Linked DNA regions of Anolis sagrei. The main gene of each other region encodes a partner of the protein of the gene in region 3 in a complex. Links are inferred from orthologs where the notes say so. Each region holds a gene or a part of one and is shown on either strand. Other genes may lie near its edges.

Region 1 (7,177 bases), on a different chromosome or scaffold from region 3:
TCGTGAAGTCAGATCTGATCATGGTGGTCCATGCCTTAGTCACCTCCAGACTGGATTACTGCAATGAACTCTACGTGGTGCTGCCCTTGAAGACGGCTCGGAAATTTTAATTGGTTTAACAGGCTGCAGTCAGGCTCCTAACTGGAGTGACTTACAGAGAGTGGTTAACCCCTGTTTAAGGAGCTCCATTGGCTGCCCTTCATTTCCGGTCCCAATTCAAGGTGCAGGTTCTTACCGACAAAGCCTTGAACGATTTGGGACCCGTCTACCTATGCGACCACATTTCTGTTTATGTACCCACGCGATCTCTTTGTTCATCTGCGGAGGCCCTGCTCTCGCTCCCACCCTCTTCGCAGGCCTGATTGGTGGAGACGAGGGAGAGGGCCTTCTCTATGGTGGCCCCCCGACTCTGGAATTCTCTACCTAAAGATATCAGACAAGCTCCCACCTTGGCAGTCTTTAGGAGGAGATTGAAAACATGGCTGTTCCAGTGTGCCTTCTCTGAATGAAGAAAATAATGCCCGATCTGACCAATTTCCTTCCATATGTCCTCTGAAGCACTTTATCTATCTGTTGGATTGATTCCTCCCATATCACTCTTTAAAACCCCCCATGCCTAGACATACCCTACTCTGTACACATCCAGGGTTTTAAAATTTTAATCTACATCTGGTCTTGCAATAATGCTTTTAAATCTTTTGTGTGCTATTGCTTATATGTTTAACTGTATTATTTATATTGTTTTATTTGCTTGCTTGTTTATTGATGTATTATTGTATTTGTATTTGACGGGCTTGTCCTCATGTAAGCCGCCCTGAGTCCCTTCGGGGAGATGGTGGCGGAGTATAAATAAATATTATTATTATTATTATTATTATTATTATTATTATTATTATTACTAGTTGTCCTCTGCCATGCAGGTGCAATTGGTGGGGACGAGGGAGAGGGCTTTCACTATGGTGGCCTCCCGACTCTGGAACTCTCTACCTAAAGTTATCAGACAAGCTCCCACCTTGGCAGTCTTTAGGAGGAGATTGAAAACGTGGCTGTTCCAGTGTGCCTTCCCTGAATGAAGGAAATAATGCTTGATCTGACCAATTTCCTTCCATATGTCCTCTGAAGCACTTTATCTATCCGTTGGATTGATCCCCCCATATCACTCTTTAAAACCCCCCATGCCTAGACATACCCTACTCTGTACACACCCAGGATTTTAAAATTTTAATCTACATCTGGCCTTGCAATAATGCTTTTAAATCTTTTGTGTGCTATTGCTTATATGTTTAACTGCATTATTTATATTGTTTTATTTGCTTGTTTGTTTGTTGATGTATTGTTGTATTTGTATTTGATGGGCTTGTCCTCATGTAAGCCGCCCTGAGTCCCTTCGGGGAGATGGTGGCAAGGTATAAATAAAGTATTATTATTATTATTATCATTATCATTATTATCAGCTGTCCCCTGCCACACGTTGCTGTGGCCCAGTCTGTATATAAGTGTTTTGTGTGTGTGTGTGTGTATATATGTGTTTGCGTGTATATAATATATATATATATATATATATATATATATGTGGGTGTATATATGTGTGTGCATATGTGTATGTGAAGATGTGTATATGTGCATATATATTTGTGTGTTTATATGTAGATATGTATATTGTGTATATGTGTGATTGTCTATATGCATATTTGTGTTTATATATGTGTGCATGTGTATATTTGTGTGTGCATGTGTACATGAGTGTGTGTGCGTGTGTGTGTATATATATATGTGTGTGTGTATATGTATGTATGTGTGTGTATATATATATATATATGGATATAAGCACTTTATCTATCTGGATTGATCCCCCCATATCACTCTTTAAAACCCTCCCATGCGTAGACATACCCTACTCTGTTCACACCCAGGGTTTTGAAATTTTAATCTACATCTGGGTTTGTAATAATGCTTTAAAATCTTTTGTGTGCTATTGCTTATATGTTTAACTGTATTATTTATATTGTTTTATTTGCTTGCTTGTTTGTTGATGTATTGTTGTATTTGTATTTGACGGGCTTGTCCTCGTGTATGTGTGTGTATATATATGTGTGTGGGGGACCCGTTGGGGACCCCTCCCCCCCAGCACCAACTGCCGCTCTGGGCCAGAGCGAAGAAAGAGGGGCCAGGGGACAGTTCCACCTTGTCTCCTGTGCTATTCTAATAATATGTTATAATATAATATATTGTATATACATATAATATTTATAATATTGTAATGTAATGCAATATAATACTAGTAATTGTTTTTAAATGCATAATGATTTTGTATTCTGTATATCTAAACTGTTGTAAACCGCTCTGAGTGGCTTAAGGGCTGAGAAGAGCGGTATACAAATAAAGTAAATAAATAAAATATGGATATGGATACACACACACACACATATATGGTATATTTTTGGGTTTTTTAAGTCAGTTCTGCTAGGAGTTTTGTTGGTTTTTGTAATTTTTGGGGTGATGAACACTCATTGCCCTTCATTTAGGGCTGTACTGTCCAAATTGTACTGTTTGTTAGGGCTGTACTGTCCAAATTTGGTGTCAATTCCCCCAGTGGTTTCTGAGTTCTGTTAATCCTACAAACCAGCATTACATTTGTATTTATATAGATTAAGGTTGAAAGGAGGAGGAGAAGGAGGAAGAGGAGCGAGGGAGAGAGGCAGGATGCTGAGGGAAGTTCTCCCGTTGCCACGGACAACGGAGGCCCCTGGGTCTTCCCGCCAAGCCGCCTCCCTCCTCTCCTCCTCCTCCCCGCACCTTGGCCCTCTTCCCCCTTCTCCTTCCTCCTCAGGGTCCAGGAGCCGGGCCTCGACCCTCCTAACCCTCGCCTCCCCCCCTCCGCCCTCGCCGGCCCTTCCTTTCGCCTCCCTCACCTGTACTTTCCGCCGCCCGGCCGTGTTCTGCCTGTGATGAGCCGCCATCTTGCATGTTGACACTCCGTCGTCATTTCCGGGTGGGGGGGAGGGGGGAGGAGGAGAGGCGTCCGCCGGCCCGGAAGTCCCGCCCCCGCTTGGTCTGGCTCTGCCTGTCAAGGGCTTCCCCTCTGTTCCTCAAACAAGCAGGCGGGAAGAAAGGGGCGTGGCTCCTGAGGGGTTGCTATGGCAGCCGTTATTACGAGCGGGCGCGGGGTTTTGCTTTTTCCCGTTTCTCTCTCTCTGTCTCTCGCGAGACTTGACTAGTGGCAGTTGAGTTTCCTGACTCAACAGAGCAAGTAGTCTGCCAAAGGTTGCTGTATCACAACAGCTCTAGTCAATGGGAAATGTTAATGACAGAAAGCTCAATAATAACTTCAATCTAGCTATCTATATACATAAAAATGTAATGTAAATAAAAACAGCAAAAACATCTTAATACCTCTCCACAAAAGATTCCCCCAGGCTCAGCCAGGCCTTCAAATGCTAATGAAGGTGGTCAGTTGAAACATTCACACCTAGCTCGGGCACATCTTAATACCTCTCCACAAAAGATTCCCCCAGGCTCAGCCTGGCCTTCAAATGCTAATGAAGGTGGTCAGTTGAAACATTCACACCTAGCTCGGGCACATCTTAATACCTCTCCACAAAAGATTCCCCCAGGCTCAGCCAGGCCTTCAAATGCTAATGAAGGTGATCACTTGATACATTCACACCTAGCTCGGGCACATCTTAATACCTCTCAACAAAAGATTCCCCCAGGCTCAGCCTGGCCTTCAAATGCTAATGAAGGTGGTCAGTTGAAACATTCACACCTAGCTCAGGCACATCTTAATACCTCTCCACAAAAGATTCCCCCAGGCTCAGCCAGGCCTTCAAATGCTAATGAAGGTGGTCACTTGAAACATTCACACCTAGCTCGGGCACATCTTAATACCTCTCCACAAAAGATTCCCCCAGGCTCAGCCAGGCCTTCAAATGCTAATGAAGGTGGTCACTTGAAACATTCACACCTAGCTCGGGCACATCTTAATACCTCTCCACAAAAGATTCCCTCAGGCTCAGCCAGGCCTTCAAATGCTAATGAAGGTGGTCAGTTGAAACATTCACACCTAGCTCGGGCACATCTTAATACCTCTCCACAAAAGATTCTCCCAGGCTCAGCCAGGTCTTCAAATGCTAATGAAGGTGGTCAGTTGAAACATTCACACCTAGCTCGAGCAGAGAAGAGCCCTTTGTCCCACCCTGGTCATTCCACAGATATATAAACCCATTTTCCAAATTCCAACAGACCTCACTACCTCTGAGGAGGCTTGCCATAGATGCAGGCGAAACGTCAGGAGAGAATGCCTCTAGAACATGGCCATACAGCCCGAAAAAACCTACAACAACCCGGTGATTCCGGCCATGAAAGCCTTCGACAATACAATGTAATGTTTGTTTGTGGGATTAACAGAACTCAAAAACCACTGGACGAATTGACACCAAGTTTGGACATAAGTCACCTAACAACCCAATGTATGTCCTTCACTAAAAAAAAAAAAATCTGATTTTGTCATTTGGGAGTTGTAGTTGTTGGGATTTATAGTTCACCTACAATCAAAGAGCATTCTGAATCCCACCAACGATGGATCTGGACCAAACTCTACAAGAATACTCAATAGGCCCAAATGTGAACACTGGTGGAGTTTGGGGAAATAGACGTTGACATTTGGGAGTTGTAGTTACTAGGATTTATAGTTCACCTACAATCAAAGAGCATTCTGAACCCCACCAATGATGGAATTCAACCAAACTTAGCACACAGGGCTCCCATGACCAACAGAAAAGACTGGAAGGGTTTGGTGGGTAGTGTCCTTTGGTTTTGGAGTTGTAGATCACCTACACCCAGAGAGCACTGTGGACTCAAACAACGATGGATCTGGACCAAACTTGGCACAAATATTCCATATGCCTAAATATGAACACAGATGGGAGTTTGGAAGAAATAGACCTTGACATTTGGGGGTTGTAGTTACTGGGATTTATAGTTCACCTACAATCAAAGAGCATTCTGAACTCCACCAATAATGGAATTGAACCAAACTTGGCATACAAGACTCCCATGACCAACAGAAAACATTAGAAGGGTTTGGTGGGCATTGACCTTGAGTTTGGGAGTTGTAACCCCAGCATTATTTTCAATTTTAATTCTACATTTGGCCTTCCCACATTTTTAATTGTGTGCTGTCTTATTGTTAATGTTGCATATCTTATTGTCCATGTTTTTTTTATTTTAATTGCTTGTATTGTTGTCATTATTGCGTGTATTGTATTTGGGCTCGGCCTCATGTAAGCCGCACCGAGTCCCTTGGAGAGATGGTAGCGAGGCACAAATAAAGTGTTGTTGTTGTTATTATTATTATTATTATTATTAGTTCATCTACATCCAGAGAACACTGTGGACTCAAACAATGATGGATCTGGAACAAACTTGGCACAAATATTCCATATGCCCAAATATGAACATGGAGTTTGAGGAAAATAGACGTCAACATTTGGGAGTTGTAGTTACTGGGATTTATAGTTCACCTACAATCAAAGAGCATTCTGAACTCCACCAATAATGGAATTGAACCAAACTTGGCATACAAGACTCCCATGACCAACAGAAAACATTAGAAGGGTTTGGTGGGCATTGACTTTGAGTTTGGGAGTTGTAACCCCAGCATTATTTTCAATTTTAATTCTACATTTGGCCTTCCCACATTTTTAATTGTGTGCTGTCTTATTGTTAATGTTGCATATCTTATTGTCCATGTTTTTTTTATTTTAATTGCTTGTATTGTTGTCATTATTGCGTGTATTGTATTTGGGCTCGGCCTCATGTAAGCCGCACCGAGTCCCTTGGAGAGATGGTAGCGAGGCACAAATAAAGTGTTGTTGTTGTTATTATTATTATTATTATTATTATTAGTTCATCTACATCCAGAGAACACTGTGGACTCAAACAATGATGGATCTGGAACAAACTTGGCACAAATATTCCATATGCCCAAATATGAACATGGAGTTTGAGGAAAATAGACGTCAACATTTGGGAGTTGTAGTTACTGGGATTTATAGTTCACCTACAATCAAAGAGCATTCTGAACCCCACCAATGGTGGAATTGGGGCAAACTTCCCACACAGAACCCCCATGACCAACAGAAAATACTTAAAGTCATTCAGTCCAACTCCCTTCACCAGGGCATGAAAACGTAGTCAAAGCCCTCCCGACAAAGAGCCATCCAGCCATAGATAGAGATAGATATATATGATTCACACACAGAGAAACAATAACATAGATTTGAAAGGGACCCCTAAAGAAGGACAATTATATGTTGCATGTCCCAGAGTAGGCAAACCAGACAATCTCCACATAAACACTGACAGAGAAACAGCAAGAAATACTGTTTGCCAACAAGCAGAAAGAATCATAGAATCATAGAATCAAAGAGTTGGAAGAGACCTCATGGGCCATCCAGTCCAACCCCCTTTCAAGAAGCAGGAATATTGCATTCAAATCACCCCTGACAGATGGCCATCCAGCCTCTGCTTTAAAGCCTCCAAAGAAGGAGCCTCCACCACACTCCGGGGCAGAGAGTTCCACTGCTGAACGGCTCTCACAGTCAGGAAGTTCTTCCTCACCAGACTGGGCCACAGCAATGCCTGACAGGGGGTGGCTAGTCTATATAAATAAAAATGTAATGTTTGTTTGTGGGATTAACAGAACTCAAAAACCACTGGATGAATTGCCACCAAATTTGGCCACAAGACACCTACTAACCCAAGAAGTGACCATTACTCAAAAAAATTTATTTTATCTTTTGGGAGTTGTAGTTGCTGGGATTTATAGTTCACCTACAATCAAAGAGCATTCTGAACTCCACCAATAATGGAATTGAACCAAACTTGGCATACAAGACTCCCATGACCAACAGAAAACACTAGAAGGGTTTGGTGGGCATTGACCTTGAGTTTGGGAGTTGTAGTTCATCTACATCCAGAGAACACTGTGGACTCAAACTATTATGGATCTGGAACAAACTTGGCACAAATATTCCATATGCTCAAATATGAACATGGAGTTTGGGGAAAATAGACGTTGACATTTGGGAGTTGTAGTTACTGGGATTTATAGTTCACCTACAATCCGAGCATTCTGAACACTACGAACAACAGACTTGGGCCAGACTTCCCAAAC
Region 2 (7,222 bases), on a different chromosome or scaffold from region 3:
GCAGGGAGTTTCAGAAAAACATCTATTTTTGCTTCATTGACTATTCTAAAGCCTTTGACTGTGTGGATCATAATAAACTGTGGCAAGTTCTTGGTGGGATGGGCATCCCAAGCCACCTTGTCTCTCTCCTGAGGAATCTGTACAAGGACCAAGTAGCAACAGTCAGAACTGACCACGGAACAACAGACTGGTTCAAGATTGGGAAAGGCGTACGGCAAGGCTGCATCCTCTCACCCAACCTTTTTAACTTGTATGCAGAACTCATCATGCGATGTGCGGGGCTTGATGAATGCAAAGCCGGGGTGAAAATTGCTGGAAGAAACATTAACAACCTCAGATATGCAGATGACACCACTCTGATGGCCGAAAGCGAGGAGGAGCTGAGGAGCCTTCTAATCAAGGTGAAAGAAGAAACCGCAAAAGCTGGGTTGCAGCTAAACATTAAAAAAAAAAAACCAAGATTATGGCAACAAGAATGATTGACAACTGGGAAATAGAGGGAGAAAACGTGGAGGCCGTGACAGACTTTGTATTTCTAGACGCTTACTTCTTGGGAGGAGAGCAATGTCCAGTCTCGATAAAATAGTAAAGAGTAGAGACATCAGACTGGCAACAAAGATCTGCCTAGTCAAAGCCATGGTATTCCCTGTAGTAACCTACGGATGTGAGAGCTAGACCTTAGGGAAGGCTGAGCGAAGGAAGATAGATGCTTTTGAGCTGTGGTGTTGGAGGAAAGTTCTGAGAGTGCCTTGGACTGCGAGAAGATCCAACCAGTCCATCCTCCAGGAAATAAAGCCCGACTGCTCATTGGAGGGAAGGATACTAGAGACAAAGTTGAAGTAATTTGGCCACATCATGAGGAGACAGCAAGGCCTAGAGAAGACAATTATGCTGGGGAAAGTGGAAGGCAAAAGGAAGAGGGGCCGACCAAGGACAAGATGGATGGATGGCATCCTCAAAGTGACTGGACTGACCTTGAAGGAGCTGGGGGTGGTGACGGCCGACAGGGAGCTCTGGCGTGGACTGGTCCATGAGGTCACGAAGAGTCGGAGACGACTGAACAAATGAACAACAACAAGATCCATGTCTAAATGGACCTTGGGCAAGATTGTTTCTGTTGGCTCCCTCTTGAAGGTCAGAAGATTTTTTTGAGGTTATATGACAGCAGCAATAGTCAAACTTCGAAGGTGATGAGAATTACAAATGTAATTTTCCACAATGCTCTGGAAAGTCTGACTTTGTTGTGATGCCATGCCTAGCCCTCCCCCATGTCAATAAAATAGATCTGTGAAGAGCTCACAATGCTTTGGAAGCCGGTGTCTTGGAAGTTGGATATCAATTGATAATGGGTTAGTGGCATGGGTAATAGGCAATGTCCTCTTCTGAAAGAAGAATGGGGGAAAAAAGAATTGCAGATTTGTAGTCTTATTACATACACTCATTTGGAAGTTCTTTTTCACAATAATTCACAATGAGGGTGTTGTGTGGTTTCAGGACTGTATGGCCGTTTTCCAGCAGCATTTTCTTCTGATGTTTTGTGTTCTGCACTGAAGATGCCAGCCACAGATGCAAGTGAAATATCAGGAGAAAATGCTTCTAGAACACGATCATACAGCCCAGAAACTTCTTATACGAAAGCTGAATGGAACAACCTGAGGATCACAACCAGATACAGTGAAGACATCTGCTCTTGCGCTATGCTACTCTGCTGCTGAGTATGCATGCCCAGTGCAGAACACATCTCACCACACTAAAACAGTGGATGTGGCTCTTAATGAGACATGCTGCATTATCACAGGGTATCTGCGCCTTCCACCACTGGAGAAATTACACTGTTTAGCTGGTATTGCACCACCTGACATCCGCCGGAAAGTGGCAGCCAATAGTGAAAGGACCAAAGGCAGTGACATCTCCAGCTTGTTTGGGCATCAGCCAGCATGTCAATGACTTAAATCAAGAAATAGTTTTCTAAGATCTACAGAGACATTCGCTGGAACACCTCAGCAAGCGAGAGTCCAAAAGTGGCAGGCTCAAACCCAGAACCTCAACCAGTGGCTGATACCAAATGAGAGACTCCCCCCTGGGCACACAGAAGACTGGGCAACTTGGAAGGCGCTGAACAGACTGCGCTCTGGCACCACAAGATGCAGAACTAATCTTAAGAAATGGGGCTACAAAGTGGAATCCACGACATACGAGTGTGGAGAGAAGCAAACCACTGACCACCTGCTGCAATGCAACCTGAGCCCTGCCACATGCACGATGAAGGACCTTCTTGCGGCAACCCCAGAGGCACTCCAAGTGGCCAGATACTGGTCAAAGGACATTTAACCAACTACCAAATTCGCAAAATCTGTGTGGTTTTTTTTCTTTTTCTTTTTAATCTCAGTGTTTTGTTCTGCTCTGTTAGAATTGTAATACAATGGTTGCTGATGACACGATAAATAATAAATAGTTCACCTACAATCACAGAGCATTCTGAACCCCACCAACTATGGAATTGAACCAAACTTGGCACAACAGAAAATACTGGAAGGCTTTGGTGGGCAGTGCCCTTTGGTTTTGGAGTTGTAGTTCACCTACATCCAGAGAGCACTTTGGACTCAAACAGTGATGGATCTGGACCAAACTTGGCACGAATACTCAATATCCCCAAATGTGAACATTAGTGAAATTTGGGGAAAATAGACCTTGACCTTTGGGAGTTGTAGTTACTGGGATTTATAGTTCACCTATAATCAAAGAGTATTCTGAACTCCACTAACAATAGAACTGGGCACACAGAACCCCCATGACCAACAGAAAATACTGTGTTTTCTGATGGTCTTTGGCGACTCCTCTGATGCCCCCTCACGACCCCCCCAGGGGTCCTGACCCCCAGGTTGAGAAATGCTGCTCTATGTACACATAATAAAATACATAACAAAAGCCAATAATTATATATAGTTAAAACATTAAGTCAATATAATTAAAAACTGCTAACAATACCAGTCTAGTGGCCATTATCTAGCTGAATTCTGTGGTTGGAGACTCCATCAAACTTATCCATAGTCCATTATCATAGTCATTGTCATCATTGCCATTGTCCGCATAGTTACTCAAATGCCTGGTCCCACATCCATGTTTTTAATTTCTTTCTAAAGGAGAGGAGGGATGAAGATAACCTAATTTCCCTGGGGAGTGAATTCCACAGGTGGGGGCCACCACCAAGAAGGCCCTGTTCCTTGTCCCCACCAAGCCCGTTTGAGACAGAGGTGGGGCCGAGAGCAGGGCCTCCCCAGAAGATCTTAAGCTCCAAGATGAGACATAGAAAGAGCTACGTTTGGACAGGTACACTGGGCTGGAACCGTATAGGGTTTTATAGGTCAAAACCAGCACTTTGAATTGTGCTCGGAACTGGATCGGCAGCAAGTTCAAAGCAGATATTGTGGGATTTTCTGTCTTGATATTCTGGGATATAGTGCTGTGTGGAAGGGCCCCTACAATTAAATAGTCATAACTGCCATGTATTCATGATCTTGATGTAGTGCCTTTTGGGGACCTTGAAAGTCTCCCAAATCCCACTTACTGGTAGGCAGCTGTTGGTATCAATATGGAGCTCTCCCCCTGTTGATCAGCCATCCCTCAGATGGGAGGGGAATTCACCTACGTAACTGGTGGACTTTGGGGAAAATAGAATCTTGACATTTGGGAATTGTAGTTGCTGGGATTTATAGTTCACCTGCAATCAAAGAGCATTCTGAACCTCACCAACGATAGAATTGGGCCAAACATCCCACACAGAACTCCCATGTGGGCCACAGCAAAGCGTGGCAGGGGACGGCTAGTAAACTATAAATATTGTGAAATTATGGTTTGTTTCTCATAGTGACACCCCACCTGAGTTATACTCAGTTTTTGGGCGAATTTTAACACACCAAGCTCAAAAGGTTGCCCATCACTGGCCTAAGACAATTTGGGGTCTCCTGCAACAGGGCAAACGTTGTCAACAGACAGCAGGCATCAAGTGGCAAGGCCTCATTAGATGTAATTGTAGAAGAAGCCTTAATTATTATTTTTTCTGGAGGAACTCAAGCCAAACCCAGGCCAAGGTCCCTTTCCCCCTAAAACTCTTCTCCTCTTGGGTGCCCCAGTGGGTGGGACCATCCCCTTTGGCCTTCCGCGCCTCCCCATTGGCTGCCTCCCTCCAATTGGGCCAAGCGGTTGGTTGCCGGCCACGCCACTCGCGGGGATTGACCTTCCCTTGTTTTCAATGCCGCTGTCAAAGTTGATCACTGGGGCGCTGCTCGGCGATGGAGAGAAGGGAAGAGGAGGAGGAGGAAGAGGAAGGAGAAGAAGAGGAAGCGGGAGAGGGGGATTAGTAGTAGTCCAGTCCTAGCCAGGACACAGCGGATCCCTGTAGATCTAGGCGATCGGTTCAGCAAATAAGGAGAGGGCTAGGGAGGCGGCGCAGTGGAGAGAGAGGAAGGAGCAGCCGGCAAAGGCAGAGAAGGAAGGGCTGGAGGCTTGGCTCATCCCTCTCTCTCTCTCTCTTCCCGCCGTCTGATCCTCGGATCCCCAAGCTAGAGCTTTCCTCCTGCCCCTGTCTCTCTTTCCTCCTCCTCTTCCTCCCCCCCCCCCTTCCCCCAACCATGACCGTTTCGGGTTTCACCTCATAAAGATGGCGGTGGGGGATCGCTGCAACCTTTAGACTCATGACTGTCAGAAACATCGCCTCCATTTGTAATATGGTGAGTACTGGAGGGCAAGGGCTCTGCTATGATTCTTTTTGGGAGGAGGAGGGGGATCGGATTTTGCACAAAAAGCAGGAGGTGGGGCTCCTTCTTGCCAGATTTCCAGCACCGCCCTTTTCCTGAGAGTAAGGGGCCGCCCAACCCTGAGGAGTCCTCCTTGCACAAGGCAAAACCCCGCCTTTTCCAGGAATGGCCCCTCATAGGTGGGATCTGCACTCCAAACCGCCCAGAGTTATGTCTCTAAGGGTGCATCTGCATTGTTGAATTGATGCACTTTGGCACCACTTTTCACTGCCTTGGCTCAATGCTGTGGGATCTTGAGAAATGTAGTTTGACAAGGGCCCCTTTCCACATCTGTATAAAACTCCACATTATCTGCTTTGAAGTGGATTATATGCCAGTGTCGACTACAATAACTCAGTTCAAAGCAGATATTCAAAGCAGGTTTGGAAGTGATCCTGGACTCATCGCTGAGCCTGGAACCCCAGGTCGTGGCGGTGGCCGGGAGAGCTTTCGCACAATTAAAACTTGTGCGCCAGCTGCGCCCGTACCTTGGGAAGTCGGATCTGGCCACGGTGGTCCACGCTCTTGTTACATCCCGGTTAGATTACTGCAATGCACTCTACGTGGGGTTGCCTTTGAAGACTGTTCAGAAACTTCAATTAGTCCAGTGGGAGGCAACCAGACTGCTCACCGGAGCGTCATACAAGGAGCATACCACCCCCTGTTATGTCAGCTCCACTGGCTGCCAATCCAATTCCGAGCACAATTCAAAGTGCTGGTTTTGACCTACAAAACCCTATATGGTTCCGGCCCAGTGTATCTGTCCGAACGGCTCTCCTTCTACGTCCCACCTCGGAATCTAAGATCTTCTGGGGAGGCCTTGCTCTCGACCCTACCTCTATCACAAGTGAGATTGGCGGGGACGAGAAGCAGGGCCTTCTTGGTGGTGGCCCCTCACCTGTGGAATTCACTCCCGGGGGAAATTAGATCGGCAACATCCCTTCTTTCCTTCAGAAAAAAACTGACAACAGGGATTTGGGATCAGGCATTTGGACAACCTGGCAGATGAAAAAGGACGTGGCGATAGACTGGAATTGACAAATAGAATGGAATTATGGAACTCTGAAAGACGCACGCTGAGCTTGTGATTAGTTTTTAGTGATTGTGTTATATATTGATTGTTTAATTGTGATAAATGTTGATTGCTGTTTTTATATGTACATGTACTCTATGTAGGCATCGAATTGTGCCTTTTTTGTAAGCCGCCCTGAGTCCCCCCCTTGGGGTTTGAGAAGGGCGGGGTAAAAGTAACTGAAATAAATAAATAAATAAATAATAAACTTTATTTATATACCGCTTTATCTCCCCAAGGGGACTCAGAGCAGTTCCCAGGTAACATCACAAAACATACAGAGTAAAAACAACATAACCATAAGATTATCAAACAAAATATAAGCATAAAAATTGTCACCATAACACACATATATTAAAAGTAATCTTCGATGTTCAAGGCAATTAAAAATTTAAAAGGCCGGGCCAAGATTTGTGCAAGCCCAAAAATTCTTGCCCGGGAATTAAGTGCAATGCTATGGCAGGCAAAAATAATATTAGGTATGGGTCTGTGGCTGTTCATTCTGGGGCCCGAACCAGAAGGAGATGCGATCGCAGAGATAGGCAGGGCCCGAACTGTTTAGGGCTTTATAGGTCATGACCTGCACCTTGAGTTTGGCTCAGCAACTTATCGACAGCCAATGAAGCTGTTTTAAGAGGGGTGTTGTATGCTCCCTATAGTTTGCTCCAGTAAGGAGCCTGGCAGCCACCCGCTGTACCAGTTCAAACTTCCGGGCCGTCTTCAAGGGCAACCCCACATAGAGCGCATTGCAATAGTCCAGTTTGGATGTAACCAAGGCGTGGACCACCTTGGCCAAATCATAGCCTTGAGCTGTAGTGGCTAAAGTGGGCCCTATATTCCACAATATAGGGCCCTTCCACACAGCCCTATATCCCAGAATATCAAGGCAGAAAATTCCACAACATCTGCTTTGAACTGGGTTATCGGAGTCAGATGATGTGGGATTTCCTGCTTTGATATTCTGGGATATAGGGCTGTGTGGAAGGGCCCACAGATGCATGCTCTCTGTGTGTATTGGAAAAGGTGCAGAAAGGCAGCATCAAGCAAACAGGGATGATACTTGAAGTGTGTGAGGCATATAATCCAGATTATCAAACTAGATAAGCCTCATTATATGCTTTGAACTGGATTATATGAGTCAACACTGCCATATAATCCAGTTCAAAGCAGTCAATCTGGATTTTATATGGCAGTGTAGAAGGATTATCAATGCAGACAACAACAGCAACAACAATAAACTTTATTTATATACTGCTCTATCTCCCCGAGGAGGGCTCAGGGTGGTTTCCAAGTAAGATCACCAAAACATACAGAGTAAACAGCATGACATAAAATTAACAAAACAAATTAGCAT
Region 3 (7,127 bases):
TACTTCCCACATCCAAAAGCCACGGGACTCCCTCCAACAACAGATCTGGATGAAAATTGGCACACATACCCCCCATGACCAACTTTAAGCACTGGCGGTATTCAGAGGGAATGGCCCTGGGACGATGGAATCTGCAGTTCACTCACATGCAGACATCACTGTGAACCACACTGTTTTAGTCTTAAGACCTGAACCCCATCTCCAAGAAATGACATTATATACATGTATGTAAAAACAGATACACCAAAAATTCAAAAGGAAAAACTCAAAGCACTTCTGCTCCCAAGAATTTCTGATAACGGATAATCAGCCTGAGACTGTTGCAATAGCCAACCTCTCCTTTCTGATGGTTCGACATACAAAAACTTGGTTTCAAGCACAAAAGCCATATACAAAATTACCTTCAGATATATGAAGCATAAATGAATTCTGTGTTTATATTTTGACGCCATCTCCAAGTTATCTTACTATATATGTGTAAGTACAATACACATATGCATATGTACAAGTATTCCAAAATCTTCGTTTCAGGCACATTATTTTAGATTTTAAAATTAAAATCATATATAAAATAGCCTTCGGGCTCTGTGTATTATTATTATTATTATATTTCTTTAATACCCCGCTTTATGCCTCCAGAAGGGGACTCAAAGCGGCTTAACATAAAAACATTAGCACAGCATTTAAAATATACAAATATTAAACCAGAATTGAATATAAACAGATTAAACCACCCAAATCTATTTGATGCATATTAAAAGCTAAAACCACAACACCTCCTGAATTGATCTTAAAAACCTTCATCTTGAAAAGTCTGCCTGAATTTTGTAATTAAGCATTGACCCCCCCCCCCCCCCCAGGGTATCTCACAATATACAGATTTACTGAAATCTGGTTAGGGGGACCCTCAAAATCCAAAATCCTTCCAGTCCCAAGCATTTCAGATAAGGTGTGCTCAACCTGTACCATGTACCATGGTCTGTTACAATCAGCCTCTGCTTCCTGATAGTTCAGCTTTCTAATGTGTAACAGATATAAACTTTGGGTTGCGCTATGGTTTCTGGGCTGTATGACCATGTTCCAGAAGCATTCTCTCCTGACGTTTCACCCACATCTATGGCAGGCATCCTCAGAGGTCATGAGGTCTGTTGGAAACCAGGCAAGTGAGGTTTATATATCTCTAGATGAACAAGATAAACAACAGGGATCCTCTCTCTTCAGCAGGGGTCTATAGTACTGTATACCACACAGCTGTGGACAAGACTACATAGAAACCACCAAACTCAGCATTGCCCAAACACAAATCCAGGAATCCAGGAACATGACTAATTCCACCAGAGATGTCAGCCACTTGATGGACCAACCTGCACACAGCATATTGTATGAGAACACAGAAATGCTGAACCACTAACAACCACAACATTTGATTTTATTGTTGATGATGTTTTTTATATTGTATATTGTAATTGTGTCCTTGGCGGCATTGAATTCTTGCCTTGTAAACTGCCTCGAGTCCCGGAATGCTAAGAGGGGCGGTATAGAAATGTACTAAATAAATAAATAAAATATGAAGAGAAGCCATTGAAATCCACAAGCATGTGGACAATTATTTATTTATTTATTTGCCTTGCTTATATACCGCTGTTCTCAGCCCGAAGGCGACTCACAGCGGTTCACAACAAATACGAACAGCAAAAATTCAGTGCTACAGTATTGAAACAGTTGACAACCTAACACATTACACATTACACGACCCATTCACTGTCATCTCGTCATCAAAAACATGTTCCAGATTCGTCATCCATTGTTCCATTCCAGTGTTCATTAACCAATCATTGCACTAATTATTCGAACGCCTGCTCAAACAGCCAGGTCTTCACTTTTTTGCGGAATACCATTAGAGATGGTGCTAGTCTAATGTCCGTAGGAAGGGCGTTCCACAGCCGAGGAGCCACCACGGAGAAGGCCCTATCTCTCGTCCCCGCCAGCTGAGCTTGAGAAGCAGGCGGGATCGAGAGCAGGGCCTCCCCGGAAGATCTCAAAGTCCTGGTGGGTTCATAGGCAGATCAACGGAATGGAAGAAACCATGAAAATGAAGAAAATCTGGCTACCAGTATTAAAAAAAAACCTCTGGAATCAGGACAGTAAATAAGGGGGAACACTCAGAAAACTGGCAATTCCAGACAGAAAACAATCAGGGCCAGCTAACACATCCCAACAAAGGATTCCAAGAAAGAAGCAGCCAGGCTTTGAAGCTGCAAGGCTATTCAATGCTAATCAAGCTAGCCAACTGCAACATTCAGGCTTTCCTGAAACAGACAAGAGTCCTTTCTCTCACCTTGGACATTCCACAGATATATAAACCCCACCTGCTTAGTTTCCAACAAACCCCTCAACCTCTGAGGATGCCTGCCATAGAAGTGGGAGAAATGTCAGGAGAGAATACTTCTGGAACATGGCCAGACAGCCCGGAAAACTCACAGCAACCCAGTGATTCCGGCCATGAAGGCATAAACTTTGTTTCATGCACAAAATTGTTTTTGGAAACTGCGTATAAATGGGGAGAGAGAGGCTCGGGGCCCTCTCCGTGCCTCAGGCCGCCCTCCTCCCTCCAGCCATGGCGTTACCTTGCGGACCCCCTTGTAGATGTAGAAGTAGAGCTCCCGGCCCACATTGAAGCAGAGCCGGTCGCCGTTCCCGCTCTGGTCGTTGACGTTGACGAAGGAGACGCGGACGGGGTTGGAGCCCTGCGAATTGAAGGGCACTCGGTTGGGCCGGCTGTACTCGGAGTGGCTGAGCAGCTTGTAGAGCCCCTCGCGGGTGGTAAACTGGGTCTTAATCTCGTTCATCTCCTTCCCTCCTCCCTCCGCCGCCATCTTGGAAAGGAGCATTCATCCTGTGGCCAGGCCCCGGATGTAAGGGCCAGTGCGCAGGCGCGCGAAAAGGCGGAGAGGAACTCGCCTTTCCCCTTCGGTCCCAGCGCGGAAGAAGGGAAGCCCACGGAGCGCTCGCGCCCGGGATGGAAGGGGGCGGGGCCTAAGAGCCCTTCCCCTGTTTACCGCGCCTCTGCGCGTGCGCCGGAGGGGGACCTCTGAAAGCCATGGGTAGCAGTGCGCATGCGCAGAAGGAGATGTCACTTCCTTGTAGTGTTGTGGGAACTGGAGTGGGGAAAGGAGTGCGTTTGTGTGTACGTATTTATATGAATACTAGCTGTTCCCTGCCACGCGTTGCTGTGGCCCACATGAGGGTTCTGTGTGGGAGGTTTGGCCCAATTCTATTATTGGTGGAATTCAGAATGCTCTGTGAATAATTGTAGGTGTTGCGGGAACTGGAATGGGGAAAGGAGTGCGTTTGTGTGTATGTATTTATATGAATATACAGCGAGCCCCCCCCAAAAGACAACCAAAACAATGTATAATTCTGTCTTTCTTGATCCCACCAAAGAATGTATACATAATAATGTTTTTAAATAGTAGACACAAATTTATTTATTTATTTATTATTTTTATTATTATTAAACTTTATTTGTACCCCGCTAGCATCTCCCAAAGGACTCGATGCGGCTTACAAAGGCCAAGGCTTCAACATAACAATACACTTAGGCAAATTTATTTATTTGTCGTGTCAGAACAACCAGTCTAACAGAACAAAGCAAACAAACAGAAAAATACACATCTTGTGAGTTTGGGGTAATTGATTAAATGTCCTTTGACCAGTATCTGGCCACTTGGAGTGCTTCCGGTGTTGCTGCAAGAAGGTCCTCCATTGTGCATGTGACAGGGCTCAGGTTGGATTGCAGCAGGTGGTCAGTGGTTTGCTCTTCTCCACACTCGCACGTCGAGGATTCCACTTTGTAGCCCCATTTCTGAAGGTTGGCTCTGCATCTCGTGGTGCCAGAGCGCAGTCTGTTCAATGCCTTCCAAGTCGCCCAGTCTTCTGTGTGCCCAGGAGGGAGTCTCTCATTTGGTATCAGCCATTGGTTGAGGTGCTGGGTTTGAGCCTGCCACTTTTGGACTCTCGCTTACTGAGGTGTTCCAGCGAGTGTCTCTGTAGATCTTAGAAAACTATGTCTAGATTTAAGTCGTTGGCGTGCTGGCTGATACCCAAACAGGGGATGAGCTGGAGATGTCTCTGCCTTGGTCCTTTCACTATTGGCTGCTACTTCCCGGCGGATGCCAGGTGGTGCAATACCGGCTAAGCAGTGTAATTTCTCCAGTGGTGTAGGGCGCAGACACCCCGTGATAATGCGGCATGTCTCATTAAGAGCCACGTCCACTGTTTTAGTATGGTGAGATGTGTTCCACACTGGGCATGCATACTCAGCAGCAGAGTAGCACAGTGCAAGGGCAGATGTCTTCACTGTAATTTAGGCAAATTAAAAACAATTAAAGCAGTATTAAAACAACAAAGCCACAAGCAATAAACAATACATCAACAAGATAAAACTGGGCCAGGCCAGAGTAGAGGGTACAGGATTAAAAAGTGCTGATGTGACGTGATATTATAGGGCAAGTGCAGTGTGCAGTGTGCTGCAGTCTTAAATTCTAATAAAGTGCTTCTGGGACTATGTATTGAAGATTTCCTAATCAGGAAAGGCACATCGGAACAGCCAGGTCTTCAAATTCTTTCTGAAGACTGCCAATGTAGGGGCCTGTCTAAGATCTTTGGGGAGAGTGTTCCAGAGACAGGGGGCCACCACGGAAAAGGCCCTGTCTCGTGTTCCCACCAAATGTGCTTGCGATGCAGGCGGGATCACGAGCAGGGCCTCTCCAGATGAGCGTAATGAACGCGTGGGTTCGTAGATGGAGATGCGGTCACACAGGTAGGGTGGTCCCAAACCATTTAGGGCTTTGTAGGTAAGCACCTGCACCTTAAATTGGGCTCGGAATTTATTATTTAAACTTATATGCCGCCACTCCCCTGGGGCTCGGAGCGGCTTACAAGAATGGCTAAAATCTAACAAAATTTAAAAGCAATTTAAAACAATTTAAAAACAGCAATATCAAACATTAAAAGCCTGTCAAAACAGGTATGTCTTACATGCCCTGCGGAAAGCTGGTAAATCCCGCAAGGCACAGACTTCAGGGGTTGGTAGGGGTGAGGCGGTCCCTCAGATACATCGGCTCCAGACCATGAAAGGCCTTAAAGGTGAGTACCATCACTTTGAAAGTGATCCGGTGCTCAATTGGTAACCAATGCAGCTGTAGTAAGATTGGTGTTATGTGGCATCTCATCGGAATTCCCGCAAGAAGCTGAGCAGCTGCATTTGTACCAACTTGAGCTTCCGGATCACCGACAGAGGAAGGCCAATGTAGAGGGCGTTACAGTAGTCCAGTCTTGAGATGACCGTGACCTGGATCACCGTAGCTAGGTCGTCCCTGGACAGGTAGGGGGCCAGCCGTCTAGCCTGTCGCAGATGAAAGAAGGCGGTTCTACTAACAGCGGAGACCTGGGCCTCCATCGTCAGCAGAGGGTCCAAAAGGACTCTCAGACTCTTTACCAATGATGACGGGCGTAACGCCTCGCCATCCAGGGTAGGCAGCTGGATGTCCCCACTGCCCGGTCGACCCAGCCATAGGATCTCCGTCTTTGCTGGATTCACCCTCAACCTGCTGGCACGCAGCCATCCGGTAACAGCCTCAAGGCACTGATGGAAACAATCGGGTACAGAGTCCGGTCGGCCTTCCATCTTCAGCACCAGCTGAGTGTCATCGGCGTACTGATAACACTCAAGCCCCAAACCTCGAACCAGCTGAGCAAGTGGTCGCATATAGATGTTAAATAACAGAGGGGAGAGAATGGCCCCCTGAGGAACCCCACAAGATAGAGGCCTCCCCTCTCCAGGCCTCCCCTCTCCACTCACTGTCCACAGTTGTGAAGAAAGGAGGATAGCCAGTTTAAAGCTGACCCCCTGATTCCAGCAACAGCAAGGCGGTGGGTCAAGAGATTGTGGTCGACTGTGTCAAATGCTGCTGTGAGATCCAATAACACAAGCAGCGCTGACCCGCCCTGGTCAAGCTGGCATCGAAGGTGATCCGTGATGGAGACCAGCACAGTCTCTGTCCCGTGCCCCACACGGAAGACAGATTGGAAGGGATCTAGTCCGGCTGTGTCGTCTAGGAATTGCTGCAACTGCTCCGCTGCTGCCCTCTCAATCATCTTGCCCAGGAACGAGAGATTCGAAACTGGGCGGTAACTGGAGGAAACCGAACAATCTAAGTCTGGTTTCTTCAGCAGGGGAGAGACCACCACCTCTTTTAAACCCTCTGGAAAAACTCCTTGCTCAAGGGAGCTGTTTATAATCTTCAACAGAGGGTTGCGTAATCCTTCCAAGCACGATTTCACCAACCAAGAGGGACACGGATCGAGGGAGCAAGTGGTCGGTCTAACTGCAGCTATGAGCTAAGGTCATGTGGCCAGCATGACCGCATGGATAGTGGTGACCTTCCTGTTGGAGTGGTACCTATTGATCTACCCACATTCACATGTTTCAAACTGCTAGGTTGGCAGAAACTGGGCCTAACAGCAGGAGCTCACCTCACTCCCCGGATTCAAACTGCTGACTTTTTGGTCAGCAAGTCCTGCAGCTTAGTGGTTTAACATACTGTGCCACAAGGGGCTGATATAATGTTATATAAGTTAAGGTAAAGGTTTCCCCTTGACATTAAGTCTAGTCGTGTCCAACTTTGGGGGTTGGTGCTCATTTCCATTTCTAAGCCGAAGAGCCAGCATTGTCCGTAGACGCCTCCAAGGTCATGTAGCCCGCATGTCTGCATGGAGCACTGTTACCTTCCTGCAGAAGTGGTACCTATTGATCTACTCATATTTGTGTGTTTTTGAACTGCTAGGTTAGCAGAAGCTGGGGCTAACAACAGGAGCTCACCCTGCTCCCCGGATTTGAACTGCCAACCTTTTAGTCAAGAAGTTCATTGGTTTAACCCGCTGCACTACCAGGGGGCCTTCATAGCTGATAATTCTGGACTTTGTTTGGTGGTTCCCCCATTAAAATGTATATGCCAGGGGTCCTCAAACTAAGGCCTGAGGGCCGGATACGGCCCTCCAAGGTCATTTACCCAGCCCTCGCTCAGGGTCAACCCAAGACTGAAACGACTTGAAAGCACACAACA

The links. The genes of interacting proteins can lie anywhere in the genome.
Region 1: the proteins of WDR20 (region 3) and WDR48 are in contact, whole or in part, in a crystal structure (PDB 5K1C), measured with the Homo sapiens proteins. The link is inferred for Anolis sagrei from reciprocal best matches to the Homo sapiens genes WDR20 and WDR48. Residues at the interface, in NP_653175.2 of Homo sapiens: Arg20, Ser364, Thr384, Glu385, Asp386, Glu524, Pro525, Leu526; in NP_065890.1 of Homo sapiens: Val191, Lys207, Gly208, Gly240, Gln241, Gln242, Arg243, Cys244, Ile245.
Region 2: the proteins of WDR20 (region 3) and USP46 are in contact, whole or in part, in a crystal structure (PDB 6JLQ), measured with the Homo sapiens proteins. The link is inferred for Anolis sagrei from reciprocal best matches to the Homo sapiens genes WDR20 and USP46. Residues at the interface, in NP_653175.2 of Homo sapiens: Asn41, Ser42, Gly44, Arg151, Lys259, Tyr261, Phe262, Gly263, Glu282, Asp283, Asp284, Leu285, His301, Lys304, Ser305, Trp306, Gln374, Asp375, Thr376, Leu509, Arg516, Met517, His533, Glu534, Arg535; in NP_073743.2 of Homo sapiens: Asn205, Thr206, Ser207, Thr209, His210, Arg213, Arg273, Val275, Phe276, Pro277, Glu279, Leu280, Arg281, Phe283, Asp293, Met295, Gln338, Glu342, Tyr344, Thr347, Ser348.

What each region holds. Positions count from the first base shown.
Region 1 is NC_090026.1:123,938,467-123,945,643, reverse strand, and holds the start of WDR48 (WD repeat-containing protein 48), read right to left. Parts: upstream 3,009-7,177; 5' UTR 2,961-3,008; coding exon 2,913-2,960; intron 1-2,912. UniProt on the Homo sapiens protein: Regulator of deubiquitinating complexes, which acts as a strong activator of USP1, USP12 and USP46. Enhances the USP1-mediated deubiquitination of FANCD2; USP1 being almost inactive by itself.
Region 2 is NC_090025.1:75,293,839-75,301,060, forward strand, and holds the start of USP46 (ubiquitin carboxyl-terminal hydrolase 46), read left to right. Parts: upstream 1-4,214; 5' UTR 4,215-4,694; coding exon 4,695-4,730; exon of another isoform or gene 4,731-4,743; intron 4,744-7,222. UniProt on the Homo sapiens protein: Deubiquitinating enzyme that plays a role in behavior, possibly by regulating GABA action. May act by mediating the deubiquitination of GAD1/GAD67.
Region 3 is NC_090021.1:323,794,655-323,801,781, reverse strand, and holds the start of WDR20 (WD repeat-containing protein 20), read right to left. Parts: upstream 3,021-7,127; 5' UTR 2,892-3,020; coding exon 2,628-2,891; intron 1-2,627. UniProt on the Homo sapiens protein: Regulator of deubiquitinating complexes. Activates deubiquitinating activity of complexes containing USP12. Anchors at the base of the ubiquitin-contacting loop of USP12 and remotely modulates the catalytic center of the enzyme.